Macaca mulatta: one gene and its partners. The protein of the gene in region 4 interacts with the protein of the main gene of each other region in a pairwise test. Links are inferred from orthologs where the notes say so. Each region holds a gene or a part of one and is shown on either strand. Other genes may lie near its edges.

Region 1 (5,931 bases), on a different chromosome or scaffold from region 4:
CAATAAGTGCTGGACTGGGGCAGGGCAGGGCCAGGGAGAGGAGGCCCAGCACCGCCAGGGGCCACAGCAAGTGTACCAAGTGGTGCCCTGGAGCCCACTGTGGCCCTCGGCAAGTTGTTTCCAGGTGGCGGAGAGTCTGTCTTGGGGAACAGCCTGTCCGCAAGCTCCCAAATCTGGCCCTTTCTTCTGCCTCCCCAGAGCTTTCCAGCGCTAGAGCTGCAGACGTACAGAGCTACATGGACATGCTGAACCCGGAGCTGGGCCTGCCTCAGGGCATGATTGGGAAGCCCACACCCCCACCACCCCCACCCAGCTTTCCCCCGCCACCCCCGCCCCCAGGCACCCAACTGCCCCCACCCCCACCTGGCTACCCAGCTCCCAAGCCTCCTGTGGGACCACAGGCAGCTGACATCTACATGCAGACGAAGAACAAACTCCGCCACGTGCAGACGGAGGCCCTCAAGAAGGAGGTAGTGAGCCCTCACCCCCTGCCTGCCTCCCGGCAGGGGGACTAGGCCGATGGGAGCCAGTGAGGCCAAAGGCCTGGCCTCACTAGTGGGCATAGGGTGGGGGTCCCTAGGTCCATGGCATGTTCAAGAGTCAAAGCTCCTGGCGAGTCCCATGAGGGGTCAGGGGTGGACACTGGACTGGGAGGAGAGTAAGAGCAGGTCACCGCCCTCCATGGGAGCCGGGGAGTGAAGGACGCAGGTCCAGACAGCTGTGCCTCACCAGGAACTGGGCCTGTGCCACCTCTTGCACAGAGTGGCTGGGTTGTCATGAAGTTGACAGAGAATTCATGGAGACTGCCCCTCCCCAAGCATGCCCCCACCACCCCCACAGCCCCAGGCTGTCAGAGAGTGTTACCCAAGGGAGGTGGCTGCCAGGTGGAAGGTGCCAGTGGCATGGCTGTGGAGGTGAGGGCTGGAAGGAGTGTGGGGGGAAGGTGAGCAGGCACTAGCAGGGCTGGGTGCCCACCGGCAGTGGGGGCTGGGAGGAAGTGAAGCTGTGGCTAGTTCCAGTTTAGGGCTCGAGATCCTGGGGGAAAGGGCCAGGCCTGAGCTGGGAGCCCTGGAGGGAAGCAGAGCCTGTGTGGAGAGGATGAGGCCAGGGCAGGCAGGTGGAGTGTGAGGCACCTAGGGATGTCTGGGGGCTGCAGGCCCCTGGCTGAGGCTCTGGAGCAGGAGTGGGGGCAGAGGTCTGGTCTGAGCAATTCTGGGAATCTTGGGCAGGGTGACCTGGGGAACACTGGCATTCTGGCCACAGGAACAGAGCAAGGATGGCCTGAGAGGTGAGGGGACAGCCTGAGGTCACAGGTGGCCAGATGTGGTGTGGCAGCGCTCTGGGGTCCTGCTGGAGCCTGGGACCTTGCATTTCTCTCTTAAGCCCAAGGCAAGCCATCCCAGGGCCAGTTTATACAAGGTGACCCAGGTCACAAGGCCACTGGGCAAGGGAGGCATGGGAGGGACACCAAACCTGCAGGCCAGTTCCAGTGGCTGCCCTCTTCATGCTACCTTAGACCAAGCTCCCACAGTAGCTTCCCCTTTCATCTCTGGGAGGCAGAGGGGGCCGGCCAGCTAGGGCTGCAGGGGCCCTGGAATCGCTGAGCTCCCAGCCCAGCCTGTGGGCCCCGCCCAAAGCCACAGGACAGGTGGCCCAGCCAGTGTCCCCTCTCCACCGGTGAGCCCAAGTGCCAGGTCTGCGTGGTCCCCTCCTGGCCGTGTGAGCCCGTCCCGGGTGTGTGCCTCCCTCCCGGCTCAGTGCGCCCCTCCCGGCTGTGTGTGCCCCTCCCGGCTGTGAGCCCCCTCCCGGCTGGTGCGCCCCTCCCGGCTGTGTGCGTCCCTCCCGGCTGTGTGCGTGCTGGGCCGCAGGCTCCAGGGCCGGGACCCGGACACTCCACAAAGGGCTCTTTGTGTGGCCGCGGCGCCCCCCGCGCGGGTGCCTGACCGAGGGCGGGAGCAGGGTCGTGGCGTCCGAGCCTCTGGGCTGCAGGGGGCGCGGAGCGGGCGGGCTGGCCCAGAAAACAAATCCTGCGGTGTCGCGTTTCCTGCAACGTGAGCCAGGTCGGGCGGGGTGAAGGGTCTGAGGCCACCTCAGGGACGCAGGGGCTGGAGAGTGGGGCAGGGGACAGCCCCCACTCCGTCACTCAGCGTTTGGCCGGGCCGCCTCACTCTCCCTCACTGAGCTGGGCCTATTTGGGGGCAGCTGCGACGGGGCGGGAAGCCACGCTGTCACCCGACCCCGCCTTACGGCCCCTGAAACCCGAGGCTTGAGCGCGGGTGTCGGTGTCGCTTTCGGATGGGGATGGTTTCCAGATGCAGGAGGGGAAGCAGGGGGACGCGACCCGGAGCCGGGGGCCAAATATGAGAGGCCCCCTCTGCCCAGGATGAAGGTGGGGGCTCAGCTCCCAGCTTAGGGAGAGGCGCAGGGGGCGGGGTCACATCTGGCCTGGGGCGGGTGCAGAGCTGCGGCCAGGTGTGGCAAGGTAGTTGGCACCCCCGTGGTATCCGCCACGGCTGGGGGGTTCGGCCTGGGATTGGCGGGCCCCGGGTGATGTCAGGCCGTCGGAGCCCATAGGCTGGCCGTGTGCGGGCGGCTGTAACCTGAGAGGAAGTATCAGGTAACGCAGGTGTCGGGTCCTGCCACCCCCGCCGCCAGGTGCACAGCGGGGGCCACCAGCACCGTGGCAGGTAGGAGCAGCCCCCGGATGGGCAACCGGGGTCCGGGACAAGCCGGAGCCTCGGAGAGCACAGGCTCTGGAGGGGGCTCCCTCCGGCCGGGACCCCGAAAGACTGGGCTCCGCGGAGCCCTGGGGACCCGCAGTCCGTCTGACAGCCGAGAGCGGGGTGCGGCCAAGGGCCTAGTGAGGGCTAAACCGGGAGGTGCCCCTTCTCCAGCTCCCCCTGGCGTCGGGGCTGGGCCACCCCGCCCCTGGGCCCGCCCCTTCTGGCCTCAGTGGGGGCCCCTGTGCCCCTTGGCCGGTGCCCAGAACCCCTCCCTGTAAGGCGGGCGGAGCCTGCCCTTCCACCGACACCCCCATGACCCTCTCCCCGTGCCCGCCCTGAGAACAGGGGATGTAGGAAGACGGCTGCTGCACCCCTCGACGGCCGCTGGCCGCGAGTCCCCCCAGGAGGTGAACGGCTGGGTGGGGAGGCGTGGGGGGCGCCTACCCGGCAGGTGCCCGAGCCCCACCGGTCACTGTCTTCCTGCAGCCAAGCTCCTGCGACGGCCACGACGGGCTGCGGAGGCAGGACTCCGGCCGCAAGCCCCGCGCCTTCAGCAAGCAGCCCAGCACGGGGGACTACTACCGGCAGCTGGGCCGCTGCCCGGGCGAGACGCTGGCCGCACGTCCAGGCATGGCGCACAGCGAGGAGGTGCGTGCCTGCCAGCCCGCGCCCGCCGGCTGCCCGCGCCTTGGCCCTGCCGTCCGCGGCTCACTCGAAGGCCCCTCTGCTCCCCCGCAGGCGGCGCTGCTCCCAGGGAACCACGTGCCTAACGGCTGTGCCGCGGACCCCAAGGCGTCCAGGGAGCTGCCACCGCCGCCCCCGCCGCCACCGCCGCCCCTGCCCGAGGCCGCGAGTTCGCTGCCACCGGCCCCGCCTCTGCCCCTTGAGGGCGCTGGCCCTGGCTGCGGGCAGCGCCGCTCCTCTTCATCCACCGGCAGTGAGTAGGAGCAGGTTGAGGGGTGGGGGGCGGCGCTAGCCCTGAAAGGGGAGGGAAATCTAGACACCACCCCCTCCCCAGCTGTCACTGCCCGGGTCCTTCCTCTTCTACATGCTCTTCCGGCCACCCCTACCCCATTGAGTACTTGACCCTAAGAGAGGGCTCTGGGTTGCTGGAGGTCCTGCCAAAGCAGGACCGGGCTGTGCTCCTGGGGCAAGTCCCCTCCCCAGTCTGGGCCTGCCTCCCACCCCCTAGCTGTGTGGCCTGGGCAAGTCCCCTCCCCTCTCTGGGCCTGCCTCCCACCGGCTAGAAAGGGTCTCCCAGCTCTGGCGCTGGCGTTTCCAATGAGCTGGTGCTGGAGGAACACTTGAAGTAGAACCAGCTTCAGAGAGGCCCCGCAGCTGGCCACTCTTCCCCCTGCCCCCCTCTATCCTGAGCCTCTCTTCCTCTCTCCATGTCTTTCTCTTGTCCTTCCAAGCAGCACAGACCTGAAGCCTTCTTAGATATGCCAGCAACTCTTCCTAGCCAGTTCCTGCCAGGGGCCCTGGGCCACCCGGGGCCTGGCTATGGGGGCAATGTTTTCCCCTCCCTCCCCGGTGACTTCCCTAGGCATCCTTTTTTAAGAGCTAGACTGGTGCAGGATTCCTGGGCTGCTTTTCTGTAGGGTGGGACAGTGTCCCCCTGCCAGGATACCTAGAAGGCCCAGGACAGGGTGTCTAGATGTGGTGCTCCCATCTCAGCCTGGCTGGGATGCCTTCCTCACCCAGCCACTCAGGGCAGAGATCATGCTTAGTGGCACCCTCCAAAGCTTTGTCTCCCTGATTAGGAGTGCAGAGCAGAGCTTGTCCCCCTATGGTTCCTGTGGAGCCCCAGCCCCTGCAGACCAGAGCCCATGGAAGCATGTCCAGCACCTGCCAAGCCTCCTCCTCCTTCCCTCCACAGCCTGCAGCAGGGCTGAAGCTAAGGGCAGAGAAAAATACTCTGGACTTCCCCAGACACCCCCACCCAGCACAGCCAGGGCTGGGTGCCCTACCACAACCCAGTGCCAAGGTGGAGGCCCTTGCTAGGGGCTAGAGCCAGTGGTGGCCCTGTCCAGCCCTCAGGGGCACCAGCCAAGCCGGGAACTCGATGGACCACCCTCATGAGGCCCCAGAGCAGCCGGGGCCAGAGCCAGACGGGCAGAAAAGCTCCTCCTCTCTTCTCCACTCCCCCTCCCCCCGCTCTCCCTGGCCCGCTCCCTGTCCCCTGCTGTCCCAGTCTCATCCTGGTCCCCTCTCCCTCCTAACTCCACTGTCACTTCTCTCCTCTTGGTCCCTAGAAGTGAGAGTCCTGAGGCACAGGAAGAGTGAGTAGCTGCGCGCGTGGCTCCTGGCTGAGGCTGAGGCGGGGGGTGGGGGGAAGAGGCAGGAAAAGCAAGGCAGGAGGGGCCCAGACTCGAGGAAAGGGCAGGGGCTGGCAGGCGAGAGAAACTCGATGCATGGGTGGGCCCTTGCACCTCATACCTACCCTCATACCCACATACGCACCTAAGCATTCTGCGCCTGGCTGGTGGTTTTGCCTAAATAAATGAGCCAGCCACACCGATTCTCCCTTTCTCCTCTTTTTCTTCCCTGTGACTGTACTCTGGGATCCCCAGTCTGGGAATCCAAGAGCTATCAGCCCATTTTGTTCCTCCCTCCCGGACCTGACCCCTTCATCGGGGCTCAAGAGACCTCTCTCCAAATCTCCATTTGCCTCCTCCGGCTAAGCCGGAAAATGCACCCTCTGCCCTGTGTATTTGCATATTACCCACCTGCCCTTCTTCCTGGGTGCCTGCCGTAGCCTCAGTAAGGGCCCTGCTTTCCTGGGCCCCTAGAGCTGAGCCTCGCTTTGCCATAAATGTGCTCCCGGCTTGCAAACAATGTGTCTGCTTGTGCGTCTGTCTGTGGGTGTGGTGGGGAGGGAGGGGACCAGGTGGGTACAGACACTCCAGGGTCCGGACTCTGTATGTCCATGGAGGCCCCAATTGACTCAGTTCAAGGGTCACTGAGGCTTTGCTGATGTAGGGAGAGGGCCAGAGGGAGGCTCCACCCCAGCCGGGCTGAGCCAGGGAACCTGGGACAAAGGTCGGGTGGCTGATTCCAGGTATTGTTTTGGAGCTGGGCAGTCAGTGGCTGGGCGGGGACATATGCCCAAGAGCCACCATGAACTCCCAGGGTCCTCCAGGCGGGGGCCCTCCACCCCGTGAGTAGGGTGGGGAGGATAGTGGGGTTGTCACAGTCGGGGAACCAA
Region 2 (6,125 bases), on a different chromosome or scaffold from region 4:
TTAACAAGCCCGCCGGGTGATTCTGATGCATGCTCAAGTGTGAGACTGCACTTTAGAGCAGTCGCTCCCAGCCCTGGCTATCCTTTAGAACTACCTGGGGAAGGCCAGGTGCGGTGGCTCACACCTGTAATCCTAGCACTTTGGGAGGCTGAGGTGGGAGGATAGCTGGAGCCCAGGAGTTCGAGACCAGCCTTGGCAACATGGTGAAACTGTCTCTGCAGAAAATATACCAAAAAAATTAGCCGGGTGTGGTGGTATGCACCTGTAATCCCAGCTACTTGGGAGGCTAAGGTGGGAGGATCACCTGAGCCTGGGAGGTCAAGGCTGCTGTGAGCTGCAATTGCAACACCGCACTCCAGCTTGGGTGACAGAGTAAGACCTTGTCAAAAAAAAAACAAAACAGATAACCTCCCCCCACCCCCAACACACACACAAACTACCCGGGGACCTTCTAAAACTTCAGATGTCCAGGTTACACTCCCGACCAACTGAATCAGAAATTCTGGGACTGAGACGCAGGCATAAAATTTTTAATTTTTTAATTTTTTTGAGATAGGGTGTTGCTCTGTTGCCCAGGTTGGAGTGCAGTGGCACAATCATAGCTCACCGCATCCTTGATCTCTTAGGTTCAAGAGATCCGTCTGCCTCAGCCTTCCAAGTAGTTGGGACTACAGGTGTGTACTACCATGCCCTGATAATTTTTTAAATTTTTAGTAGAGATGAGGTCTCACTGTGTTGCCTAGGCTGGTCTTGAACTCCTGAGCTCAAACGATTCTTCTGCCTTGGCCTCCCAGAGGCCAAGGGATTACAGGTGTGAGCCATTGGGGTTAATGAGCTCAGTCCATTAAGATTTTTAAAGCTTTCTTAGGTAATTTCAAAATGCAGCTCAGCTGAAAACCACCGAGTGAATGTATGGTGTGATTACTTAACTCTTGTAATGAGGCAAATATGAGTAAGACAACCTCCCTGCCCTCAAAGAGCTCACATTCTTTTCAGGTAAACAGAACACAAGTCCACAAATACATCTGTTCATTTACTCATTCATTCAGTAAACATGTATTCACACCTGTATGGCTGGACTCTGTGCTGGGTGCTGAGGATTCAGTGGAGACCTAGTCCCTATCCGTACCTCCAGGGCTTGTGATAAATGACCTAGACTAGTGAGTTTCCAACTTTATGTACCCTGGAGTTTTGATTCAGTAGGGTTGGGTTGGAGCCTGAGACTGCATTTCTACCAAGCTCCCATCTGGTGCTGATACTACTGGTCTGTGCACCACGCTTTGAGTAGCCAGGATCTAAACCAGTGGTTCTCAAAGTGTGGCCCCACAACCGTAAGCATAACCTGTGGGTTATTAGAATTGCAAATTCTTTCTGACTCAGCGATCCTCCCACCTCTGCCTCACAGTAGCTGGGACCACAGACATGCACCACCACCACACCTAGCTAATATATATATATATTTTTTAAAGAGATGGGGTCTTACTATGTTGCCCAGTCTGGTCTTGAACTCCTAGGCTCATGCAATCCTCCTGCCTCAGCCTCCCAAAGTGTTGCCATTACAGGCATGAGTCACTGTGCCTGGCCAGAAATGCAATTTCTTGAACCCCATCCCAGGCCTACTGGCCCAGAAACTGGGGGTAAGACCAGTGATCTGTGTTTTAATGAGTCCTCAGGTGATTCTTATGGGTACTCAGCTTATGTTAGAACCAATATCATGCAGCCAGGATGGGGTATGTAGAAACTTTGAGGAATGAGAGGAAACTATCTGGGAGAACACATGCCAAGCAGAGGGCACAGCATGTGCAAAATTCTGGATGCCTCAAAGGCTGGATGAGGGTGAGCCTGGAGAAGCTGTGTACAGTCAGTCTGCCCTGGCTAGATTATGAGATGAACATATCTTGAATGCCAGCTATGGAGCTGGGACTTTGTCTTGCGTGTGTGTGTGTGTGTCAGGGGTGGGGAGGTGGTATTTTTGTTGGTGGCCCTGAATGGTTCAGCTCTGCCCACCTGTCCAGCCCCATCTGCCTCACTCTTGTCCCCTGGCCCCCCACTACACAGTCCTCTTTCAGTCCTTCTGGCTTGCTACGTTCCTTCCCACTGTGAGGCTTTTGCACATGCTGTTCCTCTGCCTCAAACGTTCTTCCCTACCCCCTTTCCTTCCACCCGTCAGCTCTCGACTCAAACTGATCAGTGTAGGGCTTGGTACCCTAATATTCTGTCCTCCAGCACTGAGCATGGGACCTTCTATGAATTTTTTTTTTTTTTTTAGACAGAGTCTTACTCTGTCACCAAGGCTGGAGTGCGGTGGCATGATCTTGGCTCACTGCAACCTTTGCCTCCTGGGTTCAAGCCTCAGCCTCCTGAGTAGCTGGGATTACAGGCATGCACCACCACGCCCAGCTAGTTTTTGTATTTTTAGTAGAGACGGGGTTTCGCCATTGGCCTGGCTGGTCTCAAACCCCTGACCTCAGGTGATCTCCCGCCTCGGCCTCCCAAAGTGCTAGAATTACAGGCATGAGCCACTGCACCCAGCCCTTCTATGCAATTTTACATTAATTTATTCATTGCTTTAACAAAAGAAATGAAATGCCTGGTGCATAATAGGCATTCAATAAATACCTATTAAAAGAACAAACTAAGAGAAAACATGCATGTATGTCTTGGCTCCCTTCTGAGCCCTGTGTGATTCATGTGGGCACCTTTTAGAACAGCCTGGACCCATGTTTCTGGTGGGGGTAGGGTAGAGGGGAGGATGGAAATGGGGGTAAGATGGAAGTTAAAATCAGAGTAGCTCCCTAAACTCCAAAGACAACCAGGTGAGACACCCAGAGAAGCATACCAGAAAACTTCAGAGTCAGAAGCGGTGAGGGTCTGGGGGTGGGGGAATGGCTTCTGGCTGACGCCTTACACATAGGCCCTTGTAGAAAGGTGGGGAGGGGCAGGGGAGCAGGTGGGAGACTCAAGCCTGGGTAGGCAACCTCCTATGAGAATTGTCCTGACTGGGTCCTTCTGTCTGGGGCAGTGGCGAGCGGGAGAATGGATCTGCTGGGTGTCTGTCTGTCCCTCTGTCTGAGAGGCTGCAGGAGAGAGCCACCAGGAACAGCAGGGAAGCAGGTGTGGAGAATCTCCCAAACTGTCTGTCTGGCCAGGTTTCCTGGGAAGATCCCTGTCTGTCCGTGTTAGGGATGCCAGAGGCCACTGAGAGTGGAGAAACAGGGAGTTGAGAGCCTGGATGTCTGGCTGCCCAAGAGTGGGAAGGAAGTTACTTCCAAATGAGAAGAAAGACCCCACTTATGCCCCTTGCTACTGACCCCCCACCCTGCCCCAGGTTGCCCCCTTCCCCAGCTTTGGGGACATTCCCTGCCTCCCTCCCAACCTCCTACCTACCTTCTTCCCTTTCTTGACTTCATATTCCATGGTGAAATGTCCCGTCTACTTCTGCCACCCTCCTGGCCATCCCCTCCACCCCCCCAACCCAGTTCCTTTGTTCTTTTTCCTGCCTGGTCGGAAACTCCACCAGCCCTGGAGTTCCTGCCCCTCCCATCTGACGGGGAGGGCAGGGGGTGTGGAGGACACAGCCTTGGGACCCTGCAGCTGAAGGGTGGAAGCCCAGGCAGAGCTGACCTGAGGAGGGAGGCTCAAGGCCTCTAGCCAGAAGACATGTTATTGGGGGAGCTTGGGAACTGGCCAAGGCTGGGGAAGGGCCCCCTACATTTGAAGTCCTAGTTTGGAAAATTCCAAGTTCCAGCCCTACTTCTGCCACTGACCTTGTTGTGTGACCTTGGCAAGGCAAGTCGGTTCCCCCTTTCACAGCCTGTTTCCCCTGCCCTCCATAGTTGGAAGTAAACACTGCCTCCCTCCCTAGGCTGCTGTGGTGAGAAATGAAAGAGTCGGTGGAAAGTGTCTTAGAGAGTATTGTAGCCAAGCAAGTTATGATTTTTAAAAATTAATCGTTACTCTGAAGGGAGGCAGTATGCGTGGGCTTTGAAGATAGGCTGCTTGAGTTTGAATCCTGGCTTTGGCACTTACTAGGGTTATGACCTTTGGGAAGTCTCTTAACCACCAGTGCCTCAGTTTTCCCATCTTTAAAATGAGCATAATACTAGTTTAACCTCATAGTGACCTTGTGGGGATTAAATGCACCTAGAAGAACTTCTGGCACATATTAAGTACTCAGTAAGGCCGGGCGCTGTGGCTCACGCCTGTAATCCCAGCACTTTGGGAGGCTGAGGCGGGCGGATCATGAGGTCAGGAGTTCGAGACCAGCCTGGCCAACATGGTGAAACCCCGTCTCTACTAAAAATACAAAAATTAGCCAGGCATGGTGGCACACACCTGTAATCCCAGCTGCTCGGGAGGCTGAGGCAGGAGAATTGCTTGAACCTGGGAGGTGGAGGTTGCAGTGAGCTGAGATCGCGGCACTGTACTCCAGCCTTGGTGACTGGCTGAGACTCCATCTCAAAAAGAGCAAGACTCCATCTCAAAAAAATTTTTTTTTAAAAAGTGCTCAGTAAATATTAACTGTTTACCTGCCTAGCAGTTGTCAACTTAAAGAACAAACAGAGACTCTCTAAAAGAAATTTCACTTAGGGGCCGGGCGCGGTGGCTCAATCCTGTAATCCCAGCACTTTGGGAGGCCGAGACGGGCGGATCATGAGGTCAGGAGATCGAGACCATCCTGGCTAACACGGTGAAACCCCGTCTCTACTAAAAAAAAATACAAAAAACTAGCCGGGCGAGGTGGCGGGCACCTCTAGTCCCAGCTACTTGGGAGGCTGAGGCAGGAGAATGGCGTAAACCTGGGAGGCGGAGCTTGCAGTGAGCTGAGATCTGGTCACTGCACTCCAGCCTGGGCGACAGAGCGAGATTCTGTCTCAAAAAAAAAAAAAAAAGAAATTTCATTTAGGAATTAAGCATTGCAGTGGGAATTACCTATATGCCATAGTAAGTGATGTGCACTTTCAGGGAGGTGGGGGAAGACAAAAATTTTTAAAAGAAAAAAATAAGGATTATGTTATTGTTTTTGAACTAATTATCCTTGACTACCAAGATCAAGAGCAAGCATGACGCCAGTCTAAAGTTGGACAGGCAGTTGCTGGGCAGATGTCCTTGTGGAAGTATTTTTTGTGCAAGGTTTCGATGGCCTTTGTGCAAGGTTGTGATTTTTGTAGTCTTTTGTGTAATCAGTCTTTGTTATTATCTGTTTTGTCATCAGTCTTATTTGTTTTGCAAGCATGAAAATCCTCTATGGGGGCCGGGCGCGGTGGCTCACGCCTGTAATCCCAGCACTTTGGGAGGCCGAGGCGGGCGGATCACAAGGTCAGGAGATCGAGACCACGGTGAAACCCCGTCTCACTAAAAATACAAAAAATTAGCCGGGCGCGGTGGCGGGCGCCTGTAGTCCCAGCTACTCAGGAGGCTGAGGCAGGAGAATGGCATAAACCCAGGAGGCGGAGCTTGCAGTGAGCCGAGATCGCGCCACTGCACTCCAGCCTGGGCGACAGAGCGAGACTCCGTCTCAAAAAAAAAAAAAAAAGAAAAAAAAGAAAATCCTCTATGGCCTTCCCCAGCTCTATTTGTCAAGGTTTTCTTAACATTAGTGACTCCATTTTTATTCTGACCATATTCATAGGGTCTTGAGCTGTTTTACTCTGTTGGAAGTATATTAGAGAGGCAAGGTCCCCTTTGTGGCTCTGTGCTGAACACTTTACATATTTTATCTTACTCCTCGCAGTGTTGAGTACCATGATAGTACCTATTACACAGATTTTTAAAACTGAGGCTGAAGTGCAGAGCCTGGTTCAAGGAGGTCACACGGTGAATGAGAGGAGGAGCTGGGATTTCTGGCTGGTGTAGATCTGAGCCTAGTGTTCCTTACCTCTAGGACCTATGCATTCTGCATGCCCCACCCAGGACAGATGGAAAGGTTCTGAGTGGCCCATTCACACCTTGCAGCGACACCTGGGTTCTGGAGACCTAAGCTCTGGAACTGATTTGCTATATATGACCTGGTCCAGGTTGCGTATTGTAACTTCTCTTGGCCTCAGCTTTCTTATCTTTCCAATGGGAACAATAATTTCCCAAAGCCCTGCTCTGCTCGTCAGAGCTGTGGCCAGAAAGACACA
Region 3 (5,056 bases), on a different chromosome or scaffold from region 4:
CTACCCCATCCACCTCAGCCATGATACTGTATTAAATCACTGAATATGAAACACAGAAACACAAACAATAGTTTTGGGTTTCTTTAAAAATGACATTTGTATTAAAAGTCTTAAAATGAAGAGACAATGATTAAACGCATGAAATTAAAAATTACAATTAGTTAGAATTGGTACATCGCAACAGTAAAATTTTGCTCTTTGCTTCTGGAGGAACACCCTACAACAGGTAATTTAAAAATTTAAAAATAATATAAAAGGGGAGCTAAATACCTGAAAACTTAAGCAAAATGAAGCAAAAAAAAAAAAAAAAAAAGGAAACAAATTCATTGCAAGAGATGGAAATTACATTTTAAAGGCTGAAAATAATAAAGAAATTCACTAAACAACAGGCCCTATTGTCCTGGCTCCTTCTGAAAGATTATTGAAAGGAAACTGGGAAGTGGTTTGGGGAATAGCAGATTCTGGGATATGGTGGGAAGTTCACAGGTTGGCACCGGCTGGAACAGCTGAGTTTTGAAGGCACTCTGCAGACACAGGGGTGCTGGGGGCCCTGAATCACATTTACAAAGTCTTTGTACTGTATTTTAAAAAGCTAGTCATTAAAATCGGTTACTGCCAACCAAAAAACAAAAACAAAAGGCTAAACTTAAAACACACACACACCACACACACACACACACACACACCATAGTACACACGAAAATGTGCAGATCTGTAACATTTTTTTCACAGCTGATAAAAAAAAAAAAAATACTACCGTTCTCCCCCAGACTCCCCTTTGATACAGTAGGTAAACAAAATAGATTTTTTTTTTCCACAAATATCAGCAGACACTTTCTGGCACCCCACACTGTATTGGCATCAGTGTTAACAGTCCCAGTTCAGATGTGCAATACTTCAGATTGGATACACTGTAACAAGAATCCAACTTTGCATAGACATCCTCAGAATCGCAATCAGTCATGGGGTTGCCCTTCCAAGCTGGCAGAAAAGGAACCCAATCTTAACTTCCAGCTACTCCTGGAAAACAAGGAAAAAAACAAAAGTTTCTTCTTCTCCTCCTGCTCCTTCATATGGTTCTCCCGGACTTCCTTCCATGTATTTAAAACTTGGAACTAGAAAAACGGTTGTTGACCAAAAAAAAAAAAAAAAGAAAGAAAAACCATTTCCACCTTCTCCCCCTCCTTTTCCTCCACCCCTCCCCCCTCCCATTTTTTTTCCAGGCTGAAACTTTTGCTTGGTGGGTGTCAAGCTGCCGATACTGCGCCCTAACGGCTACTTAAACGGGGAAATATGCATCAACCAAAATCAGGGAGAAACGTACATGCTGCAAAGAACCACATTTCCACCAGAGTATCAGATGGGCAGGACGGGACACCCCCTCGGGTACAGGGTGGAGGCAGGGGACGCCGGCCGCGGAGGCCAGCGGGGCTCCCAAGACACCCTGGCCAATGCAAAGTGGTCTCCAATCTCAAAGCAAGAAAGAAATCACATTTAGAGAGTCGGATGCGTTTGGCTTTTGTGCGCAGAGCGCGGCCGGCGCGCGGCGGCCGCCTCAGAGGATCACGCAGGCCGAGCAGCAGCCCTCATCGCCGTTGGGCTGCGCCGCGTAGTTCATCTGCCGAACGATCTCGGCAAACAGCTCGTCTACCGAGGCTTTGTTTTTGGCCGACGTCTCCATGAAGGGGCAGCTCCACTCCTCAGCCAGGGCCTTGCCCTCGCCGTACGAGACCTCGCGCTCGCCCTCCAGGTCCACCTTGTTGCCCACCAGGATCATGGGCACGCGCTCGTACCGCTTCACGCGGATGATCTGGTCCCGCATGGGCTTGATGTCCTGGAAGCTCTGCTGGTTGACGAGGCTGTAGACCAGGATGAAGCCCTGACCGTTCTTGATATACAGGTCCCGCATGGACGCGAACTGCTCGGTGCCCGCAGTATCCAGGATCTCCAGCACCGACGGCGACGAGTCCACCTCAATCTCCTTGCGGTAGAAGTCTTCGATGGTCGGGTCGTACTTCTCGATGAAGGAGCCCGTCACGAACTGCACGGTGAGCGCGGACTTGCCCACGCCGCCCGAGCCCAGCACCACCACTTTGTACTCTCTCATGGCTCCGTCAGCGCTCTCGCCGCGCCTGCCGCGGCCCCGTCGGGGCTGCGCGCCGGGGAAGGCTGGGCTTGGCGGCTGGACTTCTCTTCCCCTTCCTCAGCTCCTCAGGAAAAACCCAGGAGAGAGTAGCCCAGAGAACGCAGGGCGGAAACCACCGAGCGGGGGCCGGGCGCCGGGCCGGCCCGCGGCGGCGGCGTGTCCCTGGGGCGCGGGTCGGGGCCCCGCAGCAGTCCGCGGCGGCAGCAGCAGCAGCCCGGGCGGCGAACCGGGAGGACAATGCCCGCAGCCTGCGCGAGGCGATGGCTGGAGCTCCTAGCTGCGGCAGCCCGGGAGGGCGGGGAGGCGGTGGCGGCGGGCTGCGGAGGTGGCTGCTAATTGCGCGTCGGGACGGGACGCGCGTGGCATGAGTCCCCGCGGAACGTGCGCCCACCGCCGCGGCCCATCGCGCTCTCTCCCGCAGCCTCTACTGGGCGAGGGCTTCCTACTCGCCGCGCGCAGCCCGGCCCTCCCCTCCCCGGCGAGCATGCCCAGTGCGTTCCGGCCGCGCCTTACCCAAGCGGCCGCTCCTGGTTTTCCGCGGGGCCGGGAGGGGGCGGGGATGTAGGCGGGGCTCCGGATTTGAGTCCAGTTTGGGGAGTGGCGCGAGTTAGGAACTGGCTGGTAGATGGGGTGTGTGTGCGTACACTGGAGCGAGGAAAGCGGTGTAGGGAGTATGCAGGCCGCTTTCTTTTACAGCTGTGGGAGTGGTGGACAAGGGCGGCGGCTCTGCGAGAAGCATGTGGGTGCGGCGGGCCGCCTCAGGATAGAGTAGGCTGTGGTCTTGCCAACTCCCGTTATCAAAGGCCCAAGGACGCCATTCACCCAGCCCCGGGCGGGCGTGTGTCTGGGGCCGGAAACCCGAAGTCATGTGGGTGCCGTGGAATGCACGAGCAGCCGGCGGAGCATCCCGGCCCCATAGATTTTTCAACACCGTTCGCCACAGAAACGCTACTCTGTGCACTGCAGCCTTGCACAAAGAAAACAGGAGGTACTCCAAGCCTGAGATACTGTCCCGACTAGGAAAGGGGTAGCCTCTGGTACCTGCAGCTCTCTCGGGGCAGGGTCCCGCGGGTCGTACCCACCTCCCCGCTCGGGTGCGGTCAAAACCCGGAGACGAGATTACATCCCTATCCAGAAGTCTCCGGGCGCCCGCAGTTAGTTCAGGGCATGCTCAGTCGCAGAGCAGGTTTTTGGGCTTGGAAGTAGGAAGCTTTTGCACCACACACCCACACTCTAGCTCAAATTACCTCTCCCAGACTCCGCACTCATTGGTCTCGGGACGCGAGTCTCACACCCCTAAGTGTTGTTGATTGGCTGCCGCCAAGGCTTTATCAGTTTGGGGCGCTTCATTGGCTAAAAAGTAGCCTCCGCTCGCGATTGGTTATTTATAGAGATTGAGAGGAGAGGCGGAGGCACAGCTGTTCTTTCTCCGCTGCTTCCCCACCCCCTGCCTCCCACTTCCCCAACCCAGGCGTTTTGAAGTAAAAGTGAAAAAATAAGAGGCATTTAGGCTGAGAGCTCAGAACTAAATATAGTTCTTTGTTGGTGTTTTCGAGAGAGTCTGACTCCTCGGTTTCCAGTCACGACTGCCCCTCAAAGGGAGCACAAAGGGCTAATTACAGGTTTTGGTCCGCAAGAAACCTCAGAGTTGCCAAGTTTTTTTGCAGGGAGTGGGAGGGGGCCGAGGAGCCGAAATGGGCCACTTGGAATTCGTTTCACCCGGAGGGGTAGGGGAGTGTCCAAGCTTGCCTCAGAGGAAGCGTCTTCGCTGGCTGGCGGACAATCGCTAGACTTAGCTGGGCTGGCGCTCCCGGGAGGTGCGAGGGAGATGCCCCGACTTGTTCCGACTCCCTTGCTCCTCTCTGAGGAGGGATGTCAAGACCTGTCTGCAGGCTGAGCGCGGCGGCGCGCGCCACGGGTGCGGGGTGGGGAGGGAGGCGGTGGAGCTGCGTCAGCGCTGGCTCCCAGTCCTGATGTCACTGCTCCCTGGTTTCACCGTCAGCATTGGAGGGTAAACCTGGGCATGGCTAACACTTGGTTTCAGTTCCTAATGCCGCCGTGACTCACACTGCGTTTGCTAGTTAACCTCCAAACCCCTGGCCGAAGCTTCTTCAGCGCGTCTGCAGCGTGAAGTCCTTGGGCACCGAACCGGGCGGGACGTGGGCTGCCCCTGATTCCTTGGGTGGAGTGGGTGGTGCCCACACCCGCGCCTCACCCCATCGTTTAGTGGAGAGAGGAGACTTTCACCTTGACTGTCAGAGTGCTTGGATGTAATGAAGCTTATATAATTCTCCAGAAAAACCTCTCAGAGGCAAACTCGCGTAAGCTGGAGAGAACCCTGCCAACATTCACCCAATATGTAATGTCCGCGAAGCGTTTTACATGTACTGTCACTCCTCATAATAATAATTATTTACCCATTTTAAAGATGAGGAAACTGAGGCTATGAGATGATCAGTAATTTGTCTGCGATGCCACAACTAGAAAGTGGTCAACCTAAGATTCCAACCAAGGGATTTGCCTGCAGAGCCTAGTCTCATAAGCACTAGACCATACTTACCTGTCACATGAATGTTCCGGTATGTTATTCTTTCTTGGGTGAATTTAGAGGCAGTGTGTTCAGACTGGCTCTTAAACCCAAGCAAGAGGGACCACCGCCCACAGCCACCCTCTGGCTTTTCTCTGACAGGGCCCCTCTTCCGGTCAGGTAGATGGCCCAGCTGGAGCCTGACCCTCTTCTAGACTGTATACGCTCCATATAGTCGGAACTCTGGACTGCTCTGCCCAAATGGTGCCAAGTCCACTTTCAGGATCTGGTCGGGACTCTGAACTCACTCCTGTGTCCAAAATAGCTCTTCTTTGGGGGTGTGGACAGTACCTGGACCTGTGGGCTAAGGTGTACACTCCCGG
Region 4 (5,853 bases):
GAGAGGGGCAGGCAGGACAGAGTTCACACTACAGGTCGCCATGCAGGAGCCCGCAATTAAACACATCAACAAGCACAGGTGCCAACAAGACTGCTGAGTGAAAAGTACAAGTTCCAGGTTTTTTACGTAAAGTTAAGAAAAACACCCACACAAAAGAATCCTCTATATTAGTTATGGATACTTATATCCATGTGTAAATGTACCCAAAAGAGCCTGGGAGGAAAAAGACGAAAGCAGTAGTTGGAAGAAAATGGGTTACTTAATATTTCTTTGGAATACTTCTTATAATTTTTTGTAAAAAAGGACTTAAAGCCAAAATGACAAAAGATTAACCATTTTCAATTCTGGGTAGAAGAGATACTATGTTCATTTTATTATTCCTGGGATTTTTCTGGATCTTTAAAGTTTATCGAATATAAAAAAATTAAAACTGCACTGTTGGCTGGGCCATGCCAGGCTGAGGGCTTCCCTGCCTTGCTCTGTAACTGCTCCCACATGGGCCACCAGGCTAGTGTCTGTGAGAAGTGTCAGGCTGAGCAGGGAAGGGCACACACTCTCTATAGAACTGGGCAGGGCAGGGCCCCAGAAAGCGGCTCCTCTTGGCTGGCTGACCCTGCTGCCCAGGCCTCCGGGGAAGATTCGGGAGCAGAGACAGCAGAAAAGGATGGGGCAAGGGAGGGGAAAGGCCAGTGGCCTCGTCACACATGAGCAGCTGTGGGCCTGAGGCCAAGTCCTTCCTTTGGGCAGGGAGCTCAGTGAGACCTGACTGGGTGCCAGTGGCTGCAGCTTTAAATAAACTTGGACATGTCCACCTGAGGCCAGGAAGCAACACCAACTGTGCCCCGGGCAGGCACTGTCAACAACCAGCCAACGTATCAACCAAGGGACCCCAGCGCTACAAAAGGGCTGAGTGCCCACAACTGAGCCCTGGCCTCAGACATCCCCCTTGGGTGCCCTGCTCTGCCCTCCCCGCTCCCTGACCCACCTCTATGGCACGGCTGCACCCCCTAGGAATCAGTCCCTTCCCTACCCCAGAGCCGCCACAGCATGGCAGTGGCAGGCCTTTGGCGTCCCCAGGGACCCGGCGCCTAGCAGGGCTCCAGGAAGGTGCACTGCGCTGAGCTGCCAGCTCCTGGCTTGGGCATCTCCTCTTGTCCCAGGTCACGGGGCTCCCCTTGATCCCAGGCTCCACTCCTCACCTCGCACTGCATGGCTCCCAGTGCTTTCGCTCAGGAGGCCACACTCCCTTCCAGCAGCGGCTCATTCTCCGGCTTCAGAGAGAAACCCAGCAGTCTTAGCCCCACCTGGTCTCCACCTCTGGAGCCACCTCTCTCAACCTCCCCCAGGCAGCCCCAAAGACCTTCACTCCCCAGTGTGGGTGGCACTGGCCAGGACATCCAGCTGTGCTGGAACTGGAGGCTCAGTGGGGAGCTGGCCACCCTGACACTGCCACTGGATGCAGGGAGGCTCGCAGCAAAGGGGAGAAGGAACAGCCAGAGTGAGCTGCAGGCTGAGGACACTGGGGTACATGGGAACGTCTTGAAAGTGGCTTCTTTGGGGAAGACCAGGGACACCTGCTGTGAGGGCCTCTGTGCTTCTGGGCACAAGCAGAGAAGACGACAAGAAGGCCCCTGAGGAAAGACTGACTTCCCACTGCCGCTCTCTTCCTCTGAGAACCAGGCACATTAACTGCTACCCACCTGCCCTTCCAGCGGCCAGGACACCTCTGGAGGCCAAGAGGACAGGCAGGGGTAGATCTGTGCATCTGAGGGGTGAAGACGGGGGAGCCAGCCACCCACTTAGGGATCCCCATGAAGGGGGCTGGGCCTGACCCCTCCCTCGAGGTCTCAGCTCTGGGGTGCTCTCCAGACCCATCCAAGGAAGGGTCCCCCAGCCGGCCTGGCCCCTCACCCCACCGATCCAGCATGGGCTTCTTGCACAGGGCTGAGCGCCACATCTCCACCCCCTACCCAAATCCTCTCCACACGTGCAGGGAGAAGTGGGGAATGAACACACCCCCACACTCCTCCAGCTCCGCACTCCACAATTATCAATGATCAGCGTCCCTCACCCACCACAAGGTTTCACCAGACACTTATTTAGTAAAGGAAAAAAAGAATCAGTGCTGGATGTGTAAGAGGAAATCTCGCCAGCACCGCCAGCGCCCCCACCGCCTGCACTGAAGGGACGGAGGAGGATGGGGGAGGACGGAGGAGGATGGGGCTCTGGCCCAGTCAGGCTGGAGATTCGGGAGTTCTGAAGCTAGCCCTGGGGATGCCAGGTGCAGCCACCTTGATTCTCAGACGGGAGACCCCAGGCCAGACAGGAGGCCCCTGAGGCGTTCCCCATCTCTGACCCCAGTGGCAAAGCCGGGTCTGGGGGACCCAAACCAGACCTTCGCCCCACACTGCTCATACTGCTGAGCAGAGAACGGGAGCCACAGCACCTGTTCCCCGTGAGGTCCCACTTCAAACAAACCTTCAAAGCCCCTTCCCCTTTAGAGTGCCCCCGCCAACGGTCCAAAATCCAGCCCCCACCCACCTCGATGACCCTGAAATTTGCAACCCAATCAGGATCTTAATCTCTCCCCCCTATCCCCATGACCTGATCCAGGCTCCCTGACCTCGTCCTCCCCACACCTCCAAATTCCTGTTTCCAGAAGAATCTGGGGGAAAATCCTCCAGAACCCAGATTCCCCAGGAGACCTACAGCAGAGGCTCTCCCACGCCGGCACCCCCCGCGCGGATGGGGCCACGCGCAGGAGCAGGCGCAAGCAGGTCCCGCCACCCCCGCCGCCTGCCGCTCGGGTGGGGGTGGGGACAGCGTGCCCGCGTCGGGGGACGACCCTCTGGGGCCGCAGCCGACCCCTCCTGGCGCTCCAGGCCCGGCGGCCGCCCCCGCGCGCCCCTCCTCTCTGACCTCCCCGCCGCCAAATGCGTCACGTCTGCCGGGAGCTCCGGGGACACCTGCTGCCGCCCCCGCCGCGCCAAGTCGCGAGCCCAGAGCCCCGGCCCGGCAGCCGCGCTGGGCAGAGCTGGAGAGGGCCGCGCGCGCTGAGGTCCGGCGACCGGGCCCGGGGCCTGGGGCTCGGGGGTCGGGGCCGCGCGGGGCCGTGCGCTTGGGCCCGGAGCCCAGAGAAGCCGGCAGCGCGCGGGGCCGCAGTGCGCCCGGAGCCGGCGGCGCTGAGGGTCCCGGAGGTCCTGGCCCTCTGGGGTCCCCGGCCCAGCCCGCGCGTGCCGCGGCTCTTACTTGCCAATATCCTCGTAGAGCTGGTACTCGTCGGTGAAGCGGGTGCAGGTCACCGTGGTGGCCATGGCGGCGGCGGACGGGCTCGGCGTGCGCTCGGCTGCGCTCGGGCGGCGGCGACTCCGGCTCCCGCTCGCGGGCACGGCGGCGACACGGGCGCGGGCGCGGGAGACACCTCGGCTCGCGGCGCCAGGCGGGGGCCGGGCTGGGCTGCGCCTGGCGGCGAGCGCACGCGAGATCTGCTCGCTCCGTCCTCGCCAGGAGCGCGCCGCACACCTACGCGCGGGGAGGCGCGGGCGCCGCTGTCACCGCCGCCGCCGCCGCGCCCGCCCCGCCCGCCCGCCGCCCCCTGCACGCGCCTTCCCCGCGCCCTGCACACGCTGCTCCTGCACCCGCACCCGCACGGAACCCGCGCCCTGCATCTGCACACGCGCCCTGCACACACACCCGTGGCCCGCACCCGCAACGCACCTGCACCTGCACCTGCACACACACGCGCGCCCGCCCCCGCACCCCGCACCCCGCACACACACCCGCGCCCTGTACTGACGCCTTCATTCTGTACCCGCACCACGCCCGCACCTCGCGCACGCAGGCCACTTGCTGCTGGCGACCCCTCGCTCTCACATAACACAGAAGAGTGCACATAATGAACGCAGCCTCTCTCCCTCGAAGGCCCACCTAGCCTGACAGCAGGAGGGGACTGGGGCCCACATGGAGGCCGAGGGCTCATGTGCTGCCCTCCACAGGACTCATTCCTCACACCCTCAGGAAGAGATGCTGCCAGATCCCTCCTGCCCAGTCTCCATCAGCCACACATGTCACAAAGGCTGCCTGGCCAGGAGGAGCCGCCCAGAAGGCCGGACATACACACTGGGACACTAGCATGAAAAAGTGAAGGGGTGGGGCCTGCTCCCTCACCTTGGTCCCAGCCCCTCCCTTCCCCCTCACTTCTCCAGAGAACGGTTGCTGGGGTGTCTGGAATGGAGGTCCCAGGAGGCGACATTCGGAGTCCAGGCCAAGGGACCCTGAGCCAGGGAAACAGGGGCTGCTCCATCAGCAATTTGGGGGGCCTGAGAGCTCATAACCACCCTGCTCAGGTAAGGGTACACATTCTCCCCTTTTCCAGCATGGTCCACCTGTCTGCCCCCTGCTTTTGCCTAGAGGAAGAGAGCCCACACACCCCAACCCCCTCTTGAAAGCCGTCCTGGAGGCCAAGGAGGAGGAGAGTGCAGGGAAGCAGGCAGGAGGCAGGGCCGACCCGGTTTCCCACAAAACAGCCTTCCCTGAGGCCTGGCACCAGGGCTGCTGTCCAGAACCAGAACCAGGACTTTAGACCACTGGGCTCCAGCAACCCCACACTCTCCTCTGACAGGGTCTATCCTGGGCAGGCTCTGAGGAGGGGGTTTCCAGCAGCCAGCTCTGGATTTGGGTCACGCTGCTGCCCTGACATGACCTCCTTACTGCTCCCCAAGGACCAATTCTGGGCCTATCCTGCTTATCCCTCTCACCTCGTGGCCAGCCCAGAGCAAGCCCCAGAAGCCACAATAAATGTTGTGTGGATAAGGGAGGGGATAAAGGGATTCTGAGTGCCAGCAGCCAGGGCCCTTCTGGGCCAGGATGCATTTGGCATAGGACTGCTGGGCAATTAGTAGACCACACGGCAACAAGTCCCTGCCATCGACCCACCTGCACCCAGAAGACACTAGAGGACAAGAAACTCTCAGGCCAAAGGCAAATGCTGGGCCAGCTGGGGAAGTCCCCAGCTGAGGAGGCAGAGGGATCCTGACCTTGACTTCAGCAGGACCATAGCAGGAAGGGAGACCCCATCCATGTCAGACTTGGACTCAGAGAACCCTGGGCCATCCTAACAGACAGACTGGCATGGACTCGAGAAAGGACTGGAGGCCAAGTCTGAGGTTTGTTCTTGGCGTTGTGTTTAACCCCACAGGAGTTTCTTCCAGCACCTGCTGGAAGCATCCGCACTTTCCCTTTCTGAGCTCTGGAAAGACGAGGTAGGGCCACACAATAGAATACAAATAACAAGCCAAGCACAGTGGCTCACGCCTGTAATCCCAGCACTTTGGGAGGCCAAGGTGGGTGGATCACCTGAGGTCAGGAGTTTGAGAGCAGCCTGGCCAACATGGTGAAACCCCGGCTCTACTAAAAATACAAAAATTAGCCGGGTGTGGTGGCCCATTGCCTATAATCCCAAATGAGAATCGTTTCTACCTGGGAGGTAGAGGTTGCAGTTAGCTGAGATCAAGCCACTGCACTCCAGCCTGGGTGACAGAGCAAGACCCTGTCTCAAGAAAAAGAATACAAATAACAAGACAAACAAAAGAAAATTGCACCCCTCTGTAAGTTGGACTCTTTGCAGGCTACTATGAAACCACACACACTCCTACCAGCATGTTCAGGAGATGATAAAGTGGTGCTGGCATCCTAATGACAGCTGACACTGATTGTGCAGTTTACATGTACTATCTCATTTAATTCTGAAACAATCCTATTAAGCATGTACTATTATTATCCCCATTTTACTTGATGGGATAATGGAGAGACAGAGAGGTACAGTAATTTACCCACAGTCACACAGCCATGGAA

Evidence for each region.
Region 1: the proteins of CAMK2B (region 4) and ACOT7 interact in binary tests that used the Homo sapiens proteins (3 or more experiments, as listed by UniProt). The two-hybrid records come from large-scale screens. The link is inferred for Macaca mulatta from reciprocal best matches to the Homo sapiens genes CAMK2B and ACOT7.
Region 2: the proteins of CAMK2B (region 4) and CCM2L interact in binary tests that used the Homo sapiens proteins (3 or more experiments, as listed by UniProt). The two-hybrid records come from large-scale screens. The link is inferred for Macaca mulatta from reciprocal best matches to the Homo sapiens genes CAMK2B and CCM2L.
Region 3: the proteins of CAMK2B (region 4) and RAP2B interact in binary tests that used the Homo sapiens proteins (3 or more experiments, as listed by UniProt). The two-hybrid records come from large-scale screens. The link is inferred for Macaca mulatta from reciprocal best matches to the Homo sapiens genes CAMK2B and RAP2B.

The regions. Positions count from the first base shown.
Region 1 is NC_133406.1:234,334,408-234,340,338, reverse strand, and holds the start of ACOT7 (cytosolic acyl coenzyme A thioester hydrolase), read right to left. Parts: upstream 4,098-5,931; 5' UTR 4,081-4,097; intron 3,683-4,080; exon of another isoform or gene 3,661-3,682; coding exon of another isoform or gene 3,210-3,660; intron 3,131-3,209; exon of another isoform or gene 2,615-3,130; intron 471-2,614; coding exon of another isoform or gene 199-470; intron 1-198. Other genes in the region: ESPN (espin), read left to right, coding at 199-470, 3,210-3,371, 3,462-3,660, 4,979-5,005. UniProt on the Homo sapiens protein: Catalyzes the hydrolysis of acyl-CoAs into free fatty acids and coenzyme A (CoASH), regulating their respective intracellular levels.
Region 2 is NC_133415.1:84,831,125-84,837,249, reverse strand, and holds the start of CCM2L (cerebral cavernous malformations 2 protein-like), read right to left. Parts: upstream 3,441-6,125; 5' UTR 3,418-3,440; coding exon 3,388-3,417; intron 1-3,387.
Region 3 is NC_133407.1:56,332,165-56,337,220, reverse strand, and holds RAP2B (ras-related protein Rap-2b), read right to left. Parts: upstream 2,576-5,056; 5' UTR 2,108-2,575; coding exon 1,556-2,107; 3' UTR 1,229-1,555; downstream 1-1,228. UniProt on the Homo sapiens protein: Small GTP-binding protein which cycles between a GDP-bound inactive and a GTP-bound active form. Involved in EGFR and CHRM3 signaling pathways through stimulation of PLCE1.
Region 4 is NC_133408.1:84,110,213-84,116,065, reverse strand, and holds the start of CAMK2B (calcium/calmodulin-dependent protein kinase type II subunit beta), read right to left. Parts: upstream 3,488-5,853; 5' UTR 3,315-3,487; coding exon 3,250-3,314; intron 2,736-3,249; exon of another isoform or gene 2,640-2,735; intron 1-2,639. UniProt on the Homo sapiens protein: Calcium/calmodulin-dependent protein kinase that functions autonomously after Ca(2+)/calmodulin-binding and autophosphorylation, and is involved in dendritic spine and synapse formation, neuronal plasticity and regulation of sarcoplasmic reticulum Ca(2+) transport in skeletal muscle.